Anolis sagrei: one gene and its partner. The protein of the gene in region 1 interacts with the protein of each later gene in a pairwise test. Links are inferred from orthologs where the notes say so. Each region holds a gene or a part of one and is shown in the gene's direction. Other genes may lie near its edges.

Region 1 (9,596 bases):
CTGGACTTAATGTCAGAGGAAAACCTTTACTTTTATTTACCTATAAATAATTATATATATATTAAAATAATTTTTATTAAAGTTTTAAAAGTAACATCGAAAGAGGGTGAATATTAAAAAAGAGAATAGCAAAGTAGGAAAAAAATAGAAAAGCACCCCCCTACCCCCAAGTCCACCAAAAGATCAAAAAGGAAAAAACAGTAAAAAATAAAATACAAAAAACACAAAAAGAAATATATATATATATAAGATAAAAATTGACTTCCATCTCTCCATCAGGTGTGTCCTCAGTAATATTTCCATTGTATCCACTTCATAATGTTCCTCTTATTTGCTCCTTTCCTTTTCGTAGTTTTCATATAGAGTCCAATCTGTCCTCTTTATCGGATTCCCGGTGTTCTTTTTCAAGAAAAAAGTTAATTCGTCCATTTCTCTTATTTCTCTTATTTTCCCTAACCACTCTTCAATGGTAGGGATGTCTTCCTCTTTCCAAAGCTTCGCCAAAGATATTCTCTCCACTGTTGTAGCATAAGTAAATAGTCTATCTTCGTTCTCATCTAATTGTAATTCCAAATCCGTAAATCCCAATAGATAGTATTCTGGTTTCTTCTTGAAAACTCTCTTCAGAATTTTTTGTAACTCCTCATGTACTTTCGACCAGTATTTCTCTATTTCTTTACATGACCACCACATATGGTAAAAGGTACTTGTTTGGTGACAACCCTTCTAAATAATTATAAATTAATTATTATAAATAATTATGAATATAATAATATAAATAATATATTATTACACATAAATAATGCTGGTCGCTTCTGTGGCGTATCAGCCAGCACGTCAACGACTTAAATCTATAAATAGTTTTCTAAGATCTACAGAGACACTCGCTGGAACACCTCAGCAAGCGAGAATCCAAAAGTGGCAGGCTCAAACCCAGAACCTCAACCAATGGCTGATACCAAATGAGAGACTCCCCCCTGGGCACACAGAAAACTGGGCGACTTGGAAGGCGCTGAACAGACTGCATTCTGGCACCACAAGATGCAGAGCCAACCTCAAGAAATGGGGCTACAAAGTGGAATCCTTGATATGCAAATGTGGAGAGGAGCAAACCACTGACCACCTGCTGCAATGCAACCTGAGCCCTGCCACATGCACAATGGTGGACCTTCTTGCAGCAACACCAGAAGCACTCCAAGTGGCCAGATACTGGTCAAAGGACATTTAATCAACTACCAAACTCACAAATGTTGTATTTTGTCTGTTTGTTTGCTTTGTTCTGTTAGAAATGTAATATAATTGACTGGTTGCCCTGACATGACAAATAAATAACATAAATAATATTATAAATAATAGCATAAGGTAGGTATGTGGCCAGCATGCCTGCATGGTGCACCCTTACCTTCCTGCCAGAGTTAAACCTATTGATTCACTCACATTTACATGTTTTCGAACTGCTAGGTTTGATTATGGCAACCGGACGGACTGATTACTGGAAAATAGAGGGAGAAAATGTGGAGGCAATGACAAGGTTTGTATTTCTAGGTGCAAAGATTACTGCAGACGCAGACTGCTGCCAGGAAATCCGAAGATGTTTACTTTGTGGGATGAGAGCAATGACCAATCTTGATAAACTAGTGAAGAGTAGAGACATCACACTGGCAACGAAGATCCGCATAGTTAAAGCAATGGTATTCCGCGTAGCCACTTTGGATGGGAGAGCTGGACCATAAGGAAGGCTGAGCAAAGGAAGAGAAACACTTTTGAACTGTGATGCTGGAGGAAAATTCTGAGAGTGCCTTGGACCGTAAGATCAAACCAGTCCATCCTCCAGGGCATAATGCCTGACTGCTCACTGGAGGGAAGGATATTAGAGGCAAAGATGAAGTACTTTGGCCACATGAGAAGACAGGAAAGCTTGGAGATGACAATGATGCTGTGGAAAAAGGAAGGAAAAAGGAAGAGGGTCCGACCAAGAGCAAGATGCATGGTATCCTTGAATATTTGTATTCAATATTTGTATTCAATATTTGTTGATCCAAAAATCTGTATCTCCTGAGGAGAACAAATTCTCAAGTGTATAACCTTGTAAGTAACTTAAATGTTTTGTAACACATGGTGTTTAATGGATATGTTCAACAAATATTGGTGTAATAGCAAGTGTGAAGACTTAACAAATTTCTTTAAGTACATTTTAGTATAAGATGTTCTATATGTATGCAACCGGAGCAAAATATTGATTTATACATTCATTTCAGTCCACCAGAAGAAGGCCTGAGATAGGCCGAAACCGGTCGTGGATGGCTGATCTATAAGCTACTCAACATAAGAAGATATGACATTGATATTATTCTAAAGAGACTGTACCAGAATTTACATAATAGTGTTTGACATCACTGTGAAATTGAACAGTACAACATGTCTATATAACTGCTTGTTGAATTCCATTATTGTTTACTCTATGTATAAGTGGCATTTTTGTTGTATATAGTGGACGGCTGATCTATAAGCTACTCAACATAAGTAGATACGACATTGTTATTATTCTAAAGAGACTGTACCAAAATTTACACAATATTGTTTGACATCACTGTGAAATTGAACAGTACAACATGTCTATATAACTGCTTGTTGAATTCTATTATTGTTTACTCTATGTATAAGTGGTATTTTTGTTATATGTACTTATTCAGGAACCCATTTATATTATATTAGAGATATACATTTGGACAGGTAAGCTGGGCTGGAACCTTTTAGAGCTTTATTGGCTAAAGCCAGCACTTTGAATTGTGCCCAGTAACAAACTGGCAGCCAGTGGAGTTGACGTAACAGAGGGGTTGTATGCTCCTTGAACGCTGCTCCATGAGCAATCTGGCTACTGTCCGTTGGACCATTTGAAGCTTTTGAACAGTCTTCAAAAGCAACGCCACACAGAGCATGTTGCAGTGGTTTTTGAGTTATGCTAATTCCACAAACAAACATTCATTTTTTATTTATATAGACTAGCTGTCTCCTGTCACGCATTGCTGTGGCCCACATGGGGGTTCTGTGTGGGAGGTTTAGCCCAATTCTATCGTTGGTGGGGTTCAGAATGCTCTGTGATTGAAGGTGAACCATAAATCCCAGCAACTACAACTCCCAAATGTCAAGATTCTATTTTCCCCAAACTCCGCCAGTGTTCACATCTGGGCATATTGAGTATTCGTGTTGCTGGGTTGTTGTAGGTTTTTCCAGGCTATATGGCCATGTTCTAGAGGCATTTTCTCCTGACGTTTCACCTGCATCTATGGCAAGCATCCTCAGAGGTAGTGAGGTCTGTTGGAAGTAGGAAAATGGGTTTATATATCTGTGGAATGACCAGGGTGAGACAAAGGACTCTTGTCTGCTGGAGCTAGGTGTGAATGTTTCAACCGACCACCTTGATTAGCATTGAATGGCTTGGAAGTGCCTGGGGGAATCTTTTGCTGAGAGTGATTTGATGTGCCTGATTGTCTACTCTCTGCTGTTTTGCTGTTGTAATTTTTGAGTTTTTAAATACTGGTAGCCAGATTTTGTTCATTTTCATGGTTTCCTCCTTTCTGCTGAAATTGTCCAGATGCTTGTGGATTTCAATGGCTTTTCTGTGTAGCCTGACATGGTGGTTGTTGGAGTGATCCAGCATTTCTGTGTTCTCGAATAATATGCTGTGTCCAGGTTGGTTCATCAGGTGCTCTGCTATGGCTGACTTCTCTGGTTGAAGTAGTCTGCAGTGCCTTTCATGTTCCTTGATTCGTGTTTGGGCAATGCTGCGTTTGGTGGTCCCTATGTAGACTTGTCCACAGCTGCATGGAATACAGTAGACTCCTGCAGAGGTGAGAGGATCCCTCTTGTCCTTTGCTGAACGTAGCATTTGTTGGATTTTCTTGGTGGGTTTGTAGGTGGTTTGTATGTTGTGTATTTGTGTTGCGTTTGGTCCAGATCCATTACTGTTTGAATCCACAGTGATCTCTGGATGTAGGTGAACTACATTATAATTCATTCATTTAATGAGGCGATCCCTCGCTTTCCGAGGAGGATTGTCTTCCAGTATTCTTGTGGGTCCGTATGTGGCTGTGGAGCCCTATTCTTTCTCTGCATCTTCTCCCGCAGTGAGGGCATTGGTTTCCAGGTGGAAGGCGGTTTTGGTTGGGGTTGGCTTGACGCGCCTTCCTCTTGGCACGCTTCTCCCTTTCGCCCTCCATTCGTGCCTCTTCAAATTCTGCAGCACTGCTGGTCACAGCTGACCTCCAGCAGGAGCGGTCAAGGGCCAGGGCTTCCCAGTTCTCAGTGTCTATGCCAGAGTTTTTAAGGTTGGCTTTGAGCCCATCTTTAAATTTCTTTTCCTGTGAACTACAATTCCAGAACCAAAGGACACTGCCCACCAAACCCTTCCAGTATTTTCTGTTGGTCATGGGTTCCGGCCCAAGGTACCTATCCGACCGCATCTCTGCCTATGAACCCACCAGGACTTTGAGATCTTCCGGGGAGACCCTGCTCTCGATCCCGCCTGCTTCTCAAACTCGGCTGGCAGGGACGAGAGATAGGGCCTTCTCGGTGGTGGCTCCTCGGCTGTGGAACACCCTTCCTACGGACCTTAGACTAGCACCATCTCTAATGGTATTCCGCAAAAAAGTGAAGACCTGGCTGTTTGAGCAGGCGTTCGAATAATTAGTGCAATGACTGGTTAATGAACACTGGAATGGAACGATGGATGACGAATCTGGAACATGTTTTTGATGACGAGACGACAGTGAATGGGTATTGTAGTAACTGTTTATGAATTGTGTAATGTGTTAGGTTGTTAACTGTTTCTATACTGTAGCACTGAATTTTTGCTGTTCGTATTTGTTGTGAACCGCTCTGAGTTGCCTTCGGGCTGAGAACAGCGGTATATAAGAAAGGTAAATAAATAAATAAATAAATGGGAGAACTGTGTGCCAAGTTTGGTTCAATTCCATCGTTGGTGGGGTTCAGAGTGCTCTTTGATTGAAGGGGAACTATAAATCCTAGCAACTACAACTCCCAAATGACAAAATCAATTTTTTGAGTGAAGGACATACATTGGGTTGTTAGGTGTCTTGTGTCCAAATTTGGTGTCAATTTGTCCAGTGGTTTTTGAGTTCTGTTAATCCCACAAAACGAGCATTACATTTTTATTTAGATAGAAGGTTTTGGAAGCATTTCGGAGATGCAATCCTTTCTGTTTTTCACGTTTCACTATGTTACACCTCGAGAGAATGAGTTGGAAGGCAAGCGCGCATGCGCACATCCCCTTCGCCTTCCCTCCAGCACTTGTCGCGAGAAGGGCCAGGAGCCGCCAAGAGCCAATCGGGAAAGGAGGGAGGCGGCGCGCGCGTTGGGTTGGTCACGTGCCCCGCGCGTCCCGCCCAATCAGAGCCCTGGAGCGCGAAGGTGGCCCGAACTCCCGCCAAATACAAGCGAGGGAGCCTGGTTGGACGGCGAGCGGGAAGGGTCAGAAGGGGAAGGCTGGCTCAAAGTAAGGCAGAAGACGCGGGGAAAAGCCGGAAAGAAGGACGAAGGAAGGAGAAGGGCTTCCTATGCGGGGAGCGGAAGGCAGGAAGAGCCTGGGCTGCTTCCTCCCGCCTTTTGAGGGGAGAAGCCGGCCAGGAAGGAAGAAAGACCTTGGTGAGGTGAGCTGGGGGAAGAGCGGAAAGAGAGGCCTGGCCTGTTGGAGTAGAAAGACCTGCGGGAAAGGGATCATTATTCAGAACAATACGAATGAAGTGAGTTGCTGTTTTATTGTATGTTACTAGCCGTCTCTAGCCACGCGTTGCTGTGGCCCAGTCTTGTATTCTGGAAAATGATGTAATGAGAAACTGTTGGTTTCTAATGCCTTTATGCTTTGTGAGCAAACAGTATTTTCTGCTGTTTCTTTGTCAGTGTTGATTTGGAGATTGTCTGGTTTGCCTACTCTGGAACATGCAACATATAATTGTCCTTCTTTAGGGGTCCCTTTCAAATCTATGATACTATTTCTATCATATACTTATATATATGTGTGTGTGTGTGTGGATTATATAGATCTATCTATTTATTTATTTACTTTGCTTGTATACCGCAATTTCTCAGCCTTGTAGGTGACTCAACGCGGTTTACAACAAGAGCAAAAGTCAATCCAACAGCATACAAAGTTTAAAAACCATTAACAGCATAATATACAAAATGACACATCAATAACAACACATTAATGTCTCGTAACTAGAATCGTGATCCAATTTGTCTTCCATAATTCCGTTTCCTATATTCATCGTGTACATTGCATTGTTTAACCGAACGCCTGTTCGAACAGCCAGGTTTTTAGTTTTCTTCGAAACACCATTAATGAAGGGGCTGATCTAATGTCCATGGGAAGGGCGTTCCACAGCCATCTATGGCTGGATGGCTCTTTGCTTTCTTGCCCTGGTGAAGGGAGTTGGACTGGATGGCCTTAAGGTAGCATTTCTCAACCTGAGGGTCGCGAGAGGGTGTCAGGAGGGTTGCCAAAGACCACCAGAAAACAGTCATGGGGGTTCTCTCTGTGTGTGTGTGGGGGGGGGGGGGGGTGTTCTGTGTGGGAAGTTTGGCCCAATTCTATCATTGATCTTTGGATGTGGGTGAACTACAACTCCAAAACCAAAGGACACTGCCCACCAAACCCTTCCAGTATTTTCTGTTGGTCATGGGAGAACTGTGTGCCAAGTTTGGTTCAATTCTATTGTTGGTGGGTTCAGAATGCTCTTCGATTGTAGGTGAACTATAAATCTCAGTAAGTACAACTCCCAAATGACAAAATCAGGGTTTTTTTGTGTGATGGTAACTCCTTGGGTTAGTAAGTGTCTTGTGGCCAAATTTGGCGGCAATTAGTCCAGCAGTTTTTGAGTTATGATGTCACTCAAAATGAACAGAGCGTTGTATATGTGTGTGTGTGTACTATTACATATTATTTTTATTGTTAAAGTGACTTGTGTATGTGAAGAAGCCTTGTGTGGGATGGGTGCCTGATGGATGTGTTTCCTGAGGGAGATAATTAAGTGGGTAATAAATAATGCATTATTTATCTATTTTACTATTTATTATTATTATTATTTCCTATTCTCATTAAAGTCACTTGTGTGTGAAAAAGAGGCAAGGAAAAAGCCTTGTTTGGGAGGTTTGTCAAATGTGTTTGTGAGGGAGATAATGAGGTGGGTAATAAATCATGTATTGTTTATTAATATTATTATTAGTTTGTACTATTATTGTTATTAAAGTGAGTTGTGTGTATGGTGAAGCCTTGTGTAGGATGTGTGTCTGACTGATGTGTTTGAGGGAGATAATGAGGTGGGTAATAAATACATACAGTAGAGTCTCGCTTATCCAACATAAATGGGCCAGCAGAATGTTGGATATGCAAAAATGTCGGATAATACGGAGGGATTAAGAAAAAGCCTATTAAACGTCAAATTATGTTATGATTTTACAACCTAAGCACCAAAACATCATGTTTTATAACAAATCGACAAAAAGGGAGTTCAATACACAATAATATTATGTAGAAATTACTGTATTTACAAATTTAGCACCAAAACATTGCAGTGTATTGAAACAGCTGTGGATCTGGGCGGGAGACAGACTGCGTTGGATGAGCGAAGGTTGGATAAGGGAGGTTCTACTGTATATTATATATTCTTCTTATTATTAAAGTGACTTGTGTGTATGGAGAAGCCTTGTGTAGGATGTGTACCTGACTGGTGTGTTTTTGAAGGAGATAATGTGGTGGGTAATAAATAGTGTATAATTACTATTATTACTTTTATTAGTAGTTTTTACTATTTTACTATTTATTATCATTATTAAAGTCAGTTGTGTGTATGGAAAAGAGGCTAGGAAAAGCCTTGTATGGGGTGTGTGATGTGTTTGTGAGGGGGATAATAAGATAGGTAATAAATCATGTATTATTATTATTTATTCCAATTATTGTTAATTTTTACTATTGGCTGATGTGCCCGTAAAGGAGGTAATAAGTTGGGTATTATTATTATGTTATTCTTTATTATTACTATTATATATTTATTCTTACTAAAGTGACTCGTGTGTCTGGAGAAGCTTTGTGTAGGATGCCTGTCTGACTGATGCGTTTCCTGAGGGAGATATTGAGGTGGTTAATAAATGTATTATTTAGTATTACTATTACTTAATTTTGTTGTTGCTGTTATTATTATTAAAGTAAATTGTGCTTATGGAAAGAGGTGAGGAAAAAAGGCTTGTGTGGGATGTGTGTCTGATGTGTTTGTGAAGAAAATAATGTGGTGGGTAATAAATAATGTATTATTATTTATTACTATTATAATAAATTTTTAATTATTGTTATTGTTATTATTATTATTATTAAAGTGGAGGAAAGCCTCAACGTTTTAATCATTAGAATGGTCTACTGAACAATAAGTTCAGCCTTTGAGACGTCTCACCAATTTCACCAAAATTTGAAAATGGAAATAAGAAAATATGTGATGAGTTAGAGGAGGGTGAAAAGTATGAAAAATAGGATTTCTGAATGAACTGAATGATGTCAGTTTTAAAGGTGGTCGACTGATGGTCTAAGATGGGTTACTTTGAATGTGTCAGATTTTGCCTTCTAAAATCTTGTTTTTTAATGCATCTTTGTCATTTGTTGGCAGCAATGGAGTGTCGAGACAAATCGGCCACTCCAGGCCGGAAACTGATCCAAGGTAATTTTCTTTGTTCAAAGCCGGTTCTAGTTTTCATTTCCATGGTAACCTTCAGATTCGGATTGCATATTCCAAAAAGTCAAAATGTAATGAAACTGGGAGTGGGACTCTTCTAGCCCTGGAGTTGTTAGCACTCCATGTTAATACAGTCTACTTCAGTAATCAAGTCAGTATGTATTTTAACAGAAATATTGATTCTAGAGCAGGCATGGCCAAACTTCCTAACTTAGGGGCTGCATGCTAGCACTCCCTTATAGGAGGACTGGCTTCCCAGTGACGGAAGGAAGGGAAAGAAAAAAAGGTACAATGAAAAGCAGGAAGGGAAGGATGGAAGGAGAAAGAAGGAAGGAGGGAGAAAAGAGGGAAGGAAGGAAGGAAAGAGGGAAGGAAGGATGAAAGGGTAGAAGAGAAGGAGGAAGGAAAGACAAAAGGGAGGAAGGAAAGAGAGAAGGAAGGAAAGACAAAAGGGAAGGGAAGGGTGGAAGGAAGGAAAGAAAAGGAAGGACGAAAGGGTTGGAGAGAGGGGAGGTTGGAAAGAGAGAAGGAAGGAAAGAAAAGGGAAGGAAGGAAAAAGAGGGTGAGGGAAGGAAAGAAGGACAAAGGGGTGGAAGGAGGGAGGAAGAGGAAGGGAGGAAGGAGTAAAGGGTGGAAGAGAAGGAGGGAAGGAGGAAGGAAAGAGAGAATGATGGAAAGACAGAAAGAGAGAAAGACCTGAGAAAAAGAGCTCATGGGGCCGCATCCGACCCCCGGACCTGGGTTTGCCCATCTCTGTTCTAGAGTCAGAAATAACATTGAAAGAATAGAGATGGGTTCCTGCACCACAAAAAAAGTAAATTCAGTAAGTTTCTAAGCTTATCTAATGCTCCCTTG
Region 2 (10,208 bases), on another chromosome or scaffold:
TTAAGTGTTTTTTGCATGACAAGATATATGCAGTGTGCATAGGAATTCATTCATGTTTTTTTCCAAATTATAATCCGGCTCTCCAACAGTTTGAATATTTATCAGACAAAGCTGATCGTGAGAAGGAGAAAATTAAGTATACATTTGTTCTCTTAGATTTTAGAGAGATAAAAATGATGAGAATTTGAGGCCTCCCTGATGAACAGAGAAGAAGATATTAGGACCAAAATGATATTAGGGCATTCTTTCTCAAGTTTTATTGTATTTTTACTACGAACAAATGGTTACAACCAGGCGTTAAAAGCCTGTAGTTCTTCATTCTTTCTTTCAATCTTGATACTGCTAAGAAAACTTCCACATAAACAAGGAGAAAAGGAGTGGGGCAGAGACTAGAGAGTTGTAAAAAGACTTTGTAAAAAGAAGCTCCTTTGTCAATGGCTTTAAGGTTTATTTATTTATTTATTTACAGTATTTATATTCCACCCTTCTCACCCTAAAGGGGACTCAAGGCAGATCACAATGCACACATACACAACAAACATTCAATGCTGTTTTCAGATATACAAGACAGACGGGTATTTTGGCATTTCAAGTTAGGTGCCTGGAGGTTCAGCTCAATCCCTGCCATGCCGCGGGGGGTGGGGGTTGCTCTTCATTCACTATGACGGCGAGTGATTTTTATTGTATTTCCTCCTTGCTCTTTGATTCCCAGCATTTTTATGGTGTCGTAAAATACCTTCCCACTTTTAAGCAGTCTCTCATTTCTTTACTCACAGCTCAGCTGTTTTCAAACTGCTTAGGCGGACAGTAAGCTAGGCTTAACAAATGTGTGCTCAATCTGACTAGGGCTTCGAACTTGCCACCTTCTGGTCAGCAGTGATCTATTGCTGCTGGTGATTAACCAGCTGTGCTACAGCTTGGCCCAATCTTATCACAGAGTATGAATCATTTTAGCTGGATATCAAACATCCCTGATTTCAGACTGTTCACTCTTGACTGATCTTCCCCCAGGTGTCAGCAGATGAGGTATGTGGTTGCCCCATGGTAAAAGACGTATTTGAGCTCACTGGGGAGTTCTGCCGTGTGCCCAAACGGAAATGCAATCGACACTACTGCTGGGAGAAGCTGCGCCGGGCTGAGGTGGACTTGGAGAGAGTACGCGTGGTATGGATCAGCAAACTTCACATATGTGTCTGGTTGTCAAAGGGTTATAATGAGCCCATCAACAGTGTATGAAATAGGTTTTTGGCTCGAGAAATCGTAGCAGTGGTGTGAATCCTTCCACTAGGGATGGGCTGTAATCTGCTCCTCTTGCTTTTGCAGTGGTACAAGCTGGACGAGCTGTTTGAACAGGAACGAAATGTACGGATGGCCATGACCAACCGAGCTGGGCTTCTTGCTCTCATGCTGCACCAGACAATCCAGCATGATCCACTGACCACAGACTTGCGTACAACCACTGATCGCTGAGCTAGTAAGCGAAAGGTAATAGCACCTGCTGCCATTGGATTGATAAAGAGGATTCAGTGCTAAGTTGCTTGGTTAGCTAAGCCTGGAGGGTGGGGGTAGATGCATATCTGAGATGGAGATGTAGAGTCTCTATTGGACACATAGAGTCTCAGCTGGGGGCTATATCAGTTACTGTGGGGTGTTGGGATATACTCTTTCCTTACATAGGAAGCATTGGTGCTCATACATTATTTGGAGAACAGTTGTGTGTTTTCCTCTCACTGGTCTCACTTAAGACAAGAGGATTGGGGAACTTGCTTCTGAGGAAGACATTAAATGAAGTGCCTTGAAATAGCACAATTTTTCCCTGTAGAAGAGTGTCAGCTTAAATCTCTGGCTAACACTAAGGCAAGACAAGGGTAGAGATTACTTCAGATACTGGGCTCCCAGCAGCATTTACCGTAGGCGTACTGTGGAGGGCTGGTTGGATTTGCATTCTTAACAACATTGAGATCTCATGTTCCCTCATTCTTGTCAAAGATTTGTATCATTTTCCTGTCCTTAACACCCATCTCTTTTCTTTGTAGGTGCTGTTGAGCCTATGGACAAGAGCTTCCCAATTCAGTGCCAATTGAACCAGAATCTTTTTTTAAAAATGATTTTTCTTAATCTCTTTTTTCATTAAAACAGTCTGGTGTAGCTTTTGCCTCTGAGCTCCTCTTCTTTGCTCCTGTAGAATCTAAGCTGTCTTTGACCATAAAACCCTTGCCAGTGGCTGTTAGCTGTGGTCCCTTTTTTTCTAAAATATTCCCATGGTTTAAGGGCTGGAAGACTGGCAGTTAGGGAAGTCAGTGGCTTCTTCTGCCAACTTGCCAAGGTGAAAGGAATGTTTCGGCTCATACTGGCTTAGGACAATCCCTGCTTCCTGAAGCAGAATTTTGATTAGATTTTTGATGCTGCATTGAAGGAAAGACGCGTGTAAACATTAAGCACTGTTGCCTTTCCATGTAGCTGCTGTCAGCTAAGAGTCATGGAACTGAGGGGTTAAATATGCTGTTAAATCAGGGCAAAGGAACCAGATGGGTTACAAATCTCTCATCCCATTGTGTGCTGTTGCCAGGAGGCAGAAAAGAGGCTAATAAAAATATCTCTCAACCTTCTGTCTCATTCTCTCTCTGTATGTGCGTTTTATATTATGGGCCAGCATCAAATGACATTGGATTACTGTTTAAATAGCTGCTATTCTTTATCTTTACTCCTAACTCAGGGCCCTTCCACACATCCATATAACCCAGAATATCAAGGCAGAAAATCCTAGAATGTCTGCCTTGGACTGGGTTATCTGAGTCCACACTGCCATATAATCCAGTTCAAAGCAGAAAATGTGAGATTTTATTCAACTATGCGGAAGGCTATGCACAGTTACTGGGGCCAGCTGCAAGAGGCAAAAGACACAGGAGGCCAAAAGGATACAAAGAATCAGTTATAAGGGGAACACATTGAAGTGTATGTTTATTAAAGAGGCTACTTTGTAATAGAGGGGGAAGACAGTGTATCTAGGGTGCTTGTCAGTTGTTGCTGCCCTTCTCCACTCCTCTGATGATTATTTGCATATTTGATCAGCCGGGGTCGGGGATGTGTGTGGTGGTTGGTGCTCAGTATCAGAAGGACCCTGAGTCCACACTGCCATATATCCCAATCCAAAGCAGAAAATGTGGGATTTTATTCAGCTGTGTGGAAGGGGCCTAAGGGCCCTTCCATGCAGCCATATAACCCAGAATATCAAGGCAGAAAATCCCACAATGTCTGCTTTGAATTGGGTTATCTGAGTCCACACTGTGATAGATCCCAGTTCAAAGCAAAAAATGTGGGATTTTATTCAGCTGCGTAGAAGGGGCCTAAGTCTGCAGTGCTTTTCATGCTCTGATTTGTGTCTGGGCATTGCTGTGTTTGGTGGTCCCTATGTAGACTTGTCCACAATTGCATGGTGTATCGTAGACTCCTGCAGTGGTTAGAGGACCCCTCTTGTCTTTTGCTGAATTGTTGAATTTGTGTTGTCTTGACCTGAGAAATCAGCCGTAGCAGAGCACCTGATGAACCAACCTGGACACAGCATATTATTGGAGAACACAGAATGCTGGACCACTCTCACAGCCACCATGTCAGACTACACAGAAAAGGCACTGAGATTCACAAGAAGCATGTGGACAATCTCAACAGAAAGGAAGAAACCATGAAAATAAAATCTGGCCGCCAGTATTTAAAAAACCCTCTAAAATCAGGACAGTAAATAAAAGTAATGGTATTCCCTGTAGTAAATTACGGATGTGAGAGCTCGACCATAGGGAAGGCTGAGCAAAGGAAGATAGATGCTTTTGAACTGTGGTGCTGGAGGAAAGTTCTGAGAGTGCCTTGGACCACCAGAAGATCCAACCATACTCCAGGAAATAAAGTCTGACTGCTCATTGGAGGGAAGGATATTGGAGGAAAAGATGAAGTACATAATGAGAAGACAGGAAAGCTTGGAGAAGACAATGATGCTGGGGAAAATGGAAGGAAAAAGGAAGAGGGGCCGACCAAGGGCAAGATGGATGGATGGCATCCTAGAAGTGACTGGCTTGACCTTGAAGGAGCTGGGGGTGGTGACGGCCGACAGGGAGCTCTGGTGTGGGCTGGTCCATGAGGTCACGAAGAGTTAGAAACAACTGAACGAATGAACAACAACAACATATTTGCCAATATATGGCTTTAATTGCAACAGAAAGGTCATTCAGCAGACTTGCAAACAAGGCAAATAGGCACAACTAGTCAAGAGCAATGTACTCTTTTAGAAATTTTGTGCATCGAAGATGATTTAGCTAAGCAAGTTGATTTTACTGAAGTTATTGCAAAATTTACATCAACACAAGCTAGAAAATATAATTTGAGTTAAGTAAGAAGCTGGGGGTGGTGACGGCTGACAGGGAGCTCTGGTGTGGGCTGATCCATGAGGTCACGAAGAGTTGGAAGCGACTGAACGAATGAACAACAAATAAAGAGCAATACCCAAAAAGCAGGTGAATTCCAGGTAAGAGTCAATCAGGGTCAGCTAACACCTCCCAACAAAAAATTCCCCCAGGCAGCAACTAGCCAGGCTTTAAAGCTGCAAGGACATTAAATGCTAATCAAGGTGGCCCATTGCAACATTCACACTTGCCTCAAGAGTTCTCTCTCCCACCCTGGACATCACTTGCTTCGTTACCAACAGACCTCACAACCTCTGAGGATGCCTGCCATAGATGTGGGCAAAGCGTCAGGAGAGAATGCTTCTGGAACATGGCCATACAGCTCTGAACACTCACAGCAATCCATTCTTGAATGTTCTTGCTGCACTTTGGTGGGGCAGAGGCGGATACAGAACCTATCCGATGACAGATCTCAGGACTCCACAGCCTTGAACCCTGGCGGTGCATTCATGCTGCAATCTATTCAAAATGATCTTGACAGATTAGAGAGATGGGCCAAAACTAACAAAATGAAGTTCAACAGTGACAAATGCAAGATACTCCACTTTGGCAGGAAAAACGAAATGCAAAGATACAGAATGGGGGATGCCTGGCTCGAGAGCAGTACGTGTGAAAAAGATCTTGGAGTCCTCGTGGACTACAAGTTAAACATGAGCCAACAATGTGATGTGGCGGCAAAAAAAGCCAATGGGATTTTGGCCTGCATCAATAGGAGCATAGTGTCTAGATCTAGGGAAGTCATGCTACCCCTCTATTCCGCTTTGGTTAGACCACAACTGGAATATTGTGCCCAATTCTGGGCACCACAATTGAAGAGAGAGATTGACAAGCTGGAATGTGTCCAGAGGAGGGCGACTAAAATGATCAAGGGTCTGGAGAACAAGCCCTATGAGGAGTGGCTTAAGGAGCGGGGCATGTTTAGCCTGAAGAAGAGAAGGCTGAGAGGAGATATGATAGCCATGTATAAATATGTGAGAGGAAGCCACAGGGAGGAGGGAGCAAGCTTGTTTTCTGCTGCCCTGGAGACTAGGATGCAATGGAACAATGGCTTCAAACGATAAGAGAGGAGATTCCATCTGAACATTAGGAAGAACTTCCTGACTGTGAGAGCCGTTCAGCAGTGGAACTCTCTGCCCGGAGTGTGGTGGAGGCTCCTTCTTTGGAAGCTTTTAAACAGAGGCTGGATGGCCATCTATCGGGGTGATTTGAATGCAATATTCCTGCTTCTTGGCCTGAATGGCCCATGAGGTCTCTTCCAACTCTTTGATTCTATTCTATGATTCTAGAAGAAGCACTTCCCGCCTGTCCTCCGCGCGCCTCCCCCGGCCACGTGCTGGGGAGCATGCTGACGTCAGGGGCCTTGGGTCTTACCGTCATCTTCGTCACTTCCGCTTCCGGGAAGGGTGTTGTTGTTTGCGTCGAGGGGGTGTTCCTCCCTGGTGCCTTGGCGAAGTCCCTGCTGCAGGAGCAGGCGGAGGGGGTTGGCAGGGCCCTTCCGGAGCCCGGTTTCCTGGAAGAGGAGGAGGAGGAGAAGGCGCAGTGCGGAAGGAAGGAAGGAAGCAAGAGACGGAGAGGCTGGTGAGTCAGGCGGCATCCTGAGTGAGGCAAGCAGCCACTATGGCGCCCTCGAGGAGGGAGGGACAGATGGGTCTTTTCCTGAAAGGGTGCCACACTGAGGAGGGGGCCAGCTTGTTTTCTGCTCCTCTGGAGACCAGGGCGCCAGGGATTCAAAGAGACCCACCTCAACATCTCTGTTTAGCACATGCTGCATATGGTGGAGCCTTCTTCTCTTGAGGCTGGATGACCATCTGCCAGGGCTGCTTTGATTGTATGTTTCCTACTTGGCAGAAGAGGGTTGGACTGAATGGCCCTTGGGGTCTCTTCCCACTCTACGATTTCGTAGTCAGACCAGTGGCACTAGGAATGTTTCCTTGCAAGTTGTTCTCTCCATAACATTTGGTCTTCCTTTCTGGTGGAGGCTCCTTCTTTGGAAGCTTTTAAACAGAGGCTGGATGGCTATCTGTCAGGGGTGATTTGAATGCAATAGTTCTGCTTCTTGGCCTGGATGGCTCATGAGGTCTCTTCCAACTCTTTGATTCTATGATTCTTTCTGCTGCTACCATATTGCAACATAATCTTTTTGTTCATGAATATTAATATTACATAATATAATATAAGTCAGAGGAATAGAGTGTGAAACAGAGAGCCAAATGTAACATGTAAAATCATACTACATATATTTGACATTAATATTGAAATCTGAAATATATACAGAAAGTCTTTACTGGATAGTTTTAACTGAACCTTTTAGTACTGTTTATATTTAATTCTGTTTAAATATTTGTATATTTAGAATGCTGTGCTAACGTTTTTATGTTAAACCCGAAGGCAGGCATGTAGCCCCCCCCCCCCCCGAAAGTCTCATGGTGGCCTTACTGGTACATCATTTAAACTGTTATGTTTATTCATATCATGACCTGATCACCATGCTCAATATATCCCATATGCATGGGGGTATTGGGATAACGATACAAAAGGTTTGCTAAGGTAGACCCTCTCTCACTCAGACTCAGCCCCCCCCCCCAATCAAACTCAGCTCCCCCCGAAACAAAATCCTGGCTACGGGTCTGCCCGAAGGGGACTCAAATAGAATGTAATAATAATAATAATAATAATAATAATTTTGGAGCATAATACTCCTGACTTCACAATCATGTTAAAAAACAAAGTATGGATCGTCGATGTCACAGTCCCAGGTGACAGCAGGATTGCAGAGAAACAACAGGGAAAAGCTGACACAATATGAGTATTTAAAGATCAAACTGCAAAGACTCTGGCACAAGCCAGTCAAGGTGGTCCCAGTGGTGATCGGCACACTGGGTGCAGTGCCTAAAGACCTTGGCCTGCACTTAGACACAATCGGCACTGACAAAATTAACATCTGCCAGCTGCAGAAGGCCACCTTACTGGGATCTGCACACATTATTCGCCGATGCATCACACAGTCCTAGACACTTGGGAAGTGTCCGGCATCTGATCCAATACAACAGCCAGCAGAGTGTCTGCTGTGGACTCATCTTGTTGTATTTTCAAATAATAATATGGAAATTCTGTGATATTGTGGAAAGGGATCTATGGTTGGGATTTCACTCCTTCTCAATCAGGGCTCAGCTTGATGGTTCATTACTGGTGAAGGGGGCATGACAGCTGCAAACTGGGTTGATCTGCCACTTTGAGGCCCCTTCTACACTGCCATATAATTCAGATTATCAAAGCAGATAATCCACATAATCTGTTTTGAACTGGATTCTATCAGTCTATGCTGCTACCTAATCTAGTTCAAAGCAGATAATCTGGATTTTATATGGCTGTGTAGAGGGGCCTGAGTCTCCTTGTGTAGAGAAAAAGCGGGGCAATAATAATAATTCACTGGAACTTATGTCACAAGAACCACCTGCCAGCAGCAAAGAATTGGTGGAATCATAAACCCGCAAAGGTCATGGAAAATGAACATGCAAAAATACTGTGGGACTTTCGAATCCAGACGGACAAAGTTTTGGAACACAACACGCCAGACATCATGATTGTGGAAAAGAAAAAAGATTATTGATGTCGCCATACCAAGTGACAGTCACATTGAGGAAAAACAACAGGAAAAACTCAGCCGCTATCAAGACCTCAAAATCGAACTGCAAAGCCTCTGGCATAAACCAGTACAGGTAGTCCCAGTGGTCATTGGCACACTGGGTGCTGTGCCAAAAGATCTCAGCCGGCATTTGGAAACAATAAACATTGACAAAATCACGATCTGTCAACTGCAAAAGGCCACCTTACTTGGATCTGCACACATCATTCGAAAGTACATCACACAGTCCTAGACACTTGGGAAGTGTTCGACTTGTGATTTTGTGATATGAAATCCAGCATATAGATCTAATTTGCTGTGACATACTGTGCTTTTGTGTCAACAACAACAATAATAATTGTAATAATGGGGTGTTGTGTGGTTTTCGGCCTGTATTCTCATGTTCGCTTTCTCCTGACGTTTCACCTGCATCTGTGGCAGGCATCTTCAAAGGATAACAGCCACAGATGCAGGTGAAATGTCAGGAGAAAATGCTGCTAGAACAGGGCCATACTGCCTGGAAACCATAGCACCCAGCGATTCCAGCCATGAAAGCCTTCAATGATACATTAAACATAATAATAATAATAATAATAATAATAATAATAATAATAAGACCATTATCTGAGTGTTTCAGTCACCTCTTTGGGTGACATTCTCTTTAGCCAGCAATTCCCAGTTCTGATCCTGGGACACTGTACAGGCCAGATGGGTTTTGGCCCTTAGAAATGAGACCAAGGGTGCTGTACAGTTAATGCAGTTTGACCATCATTTTCATTGTCGTGGCTCAATTTTGAGGAATCCTGGGAGTTGTCATTTGACAAGGTGTTGTGCCTTCCTAGCCAAAGAGTGCTGTTGCCTTGCCAAAGTACAGATTGGCTGATTCCTGAGCCATGGCAGTTAAAGTGGCTAAGCTGCATTAATTATGCAGTCTGAGATGCACTCTTAGTCAGCCTTTTCCTCAACCATGGGAGTTGTTTGGTCTGTCTTTGTCCTAAGCTGGCTCTACACTGTAGATGTAATGACACCACATTACGTAATAAGATTTGTAGTTTGGTGAGGCACCAGTACTTTGGCCACATCATGAGAAGATAGGAAAGCTTGGAGAAGACAGTTATGCTGGGGAAAATGGAAGGTAAAAGGAAGAGGAGCTGACCAAGGGCAAGATGGATGGATGGGATCCTTGAAGTGACTGGCTTGACTCTGAAGGAGCTGGGGGTGGTGATGGCTGACAGGGAGCTCTGGCGTGGACTGGTCTATGAGGTCATGAAGAGTCGGAAGTGACTGAACGAATAAACAACAATGACGCACCAGCACTCTTTGGCAGAGTGCTACACATAGCTAACAGTCTTGTAAAACTATAACTCCTATGATTACATACAATTGAGTCATGATGAGTTAAAGCAGTAGCAAACTGCCGTAATAATATAGTATAAATACACTTTTAATTGTTGCTCTGGCCTTGGCCCCTTCCAGTACCTTTTATGTCTTATGTTGGGGAATCTGATTTTTTTGTGTATCATTGTAGTTCAGTAGGCCCTTGGTATCTGCTGGGTTTGATTCCAGACATTTTGTGGGCATCAACATCTGTGGATACTCAAGTCCCATTATATACAATGGTGTAGCAACATGGTGTCCCTTATATAAAATGGCAAGATCAAGATTTGCTTTTGGGGGGAAAAGGTTTTGAAGGAACATTAGTATCTGTGGATATGGAGTGCCAGATGTTTTCAGCTCTCAATTGCTCCTGCAATAGAAATGCAAAATTAACTGTCCCTTGAATTGTTGGTCTGTTATGTCCTAATCTAGCTGGTAATGTGTTAGTGATGTTTGCCTCAGTTTACATTTGGGAAAGTGCCTAGGATACTAGAAGGTTGAAGCACATTGATTTAGGGAAGTATTTTCTGGATGAATACGTACTATCTGTTATTGTCAGTGCTGAATTCAATACCAAACGGCCATGCACATAGAAGATTTATCATGGAGAAGGTGAAGAGTGATGGATTTGTGCTTGCATAATTGTCTCTTGGAAACTATTGCATGAAGTGATCTGCCAAGTGTGATTGACTCATCAGAGATGTAATGTTTGTATTGCCTCAAACTGAATGTTTTTTTTAAAAATGGACCCG

The links.
Region 2: the proteins of CHAF1A (region 1) and methyl-CpG-binding domain protein 1 interact in binary tests that used the Homo sapiens proteins (3 or more experiments, as listed by UniProt). The link is inferred for Anolis sagrei from reciprocal best matches to the Homo sapiens genes CHAF1A and MBD1.

The regions. Positions count from the first base shown.
Region 1 is NC_090034.1:56,229,374-56,238,969, forward strand, and holds the start of CHAF1A (chromatin assembly factor 1 subunit A), read left to right. Parts: upstream 1-5,407; 5' UTR 5,408-5,669; exon of another isoform or gene 5,670-5,762; intron 5,763-8,675; 5' UTR 8,676-8,677; coding exon 8,678-8,726; intron 8,727-9,596. UniProt on the Homo sapiens protein: Acts as a component of the histone chaperone complex chromatin assembly factor 1 (CAF-1), which assembles histone octamers onto DNA during replication and repair.
Region 2 is NC_090022.1:193,767,425-193,777,632, forward strand, and holds the start of methyl-CpG-binding domain protein 1, read left to right. Parts: upstream 1-5,947; 5' UTR 5,948-6,032; intron 6,033-10,208. Other genes in the region: CXXC1 (CXXC-type zinc finger protein 1), read left to right, coding at 1,012-1,164, 1,324-1,470. UniProt on the Homo sapiens protein: Transcriptional repressor that binds CpG islands in promoters where the DNA is methylated at position 5 of cytosine within CpG dinucleotides. Binding is abolished by the presence of 7-mG that is produced by DNA damage by methylmethanesulfonate (MMS).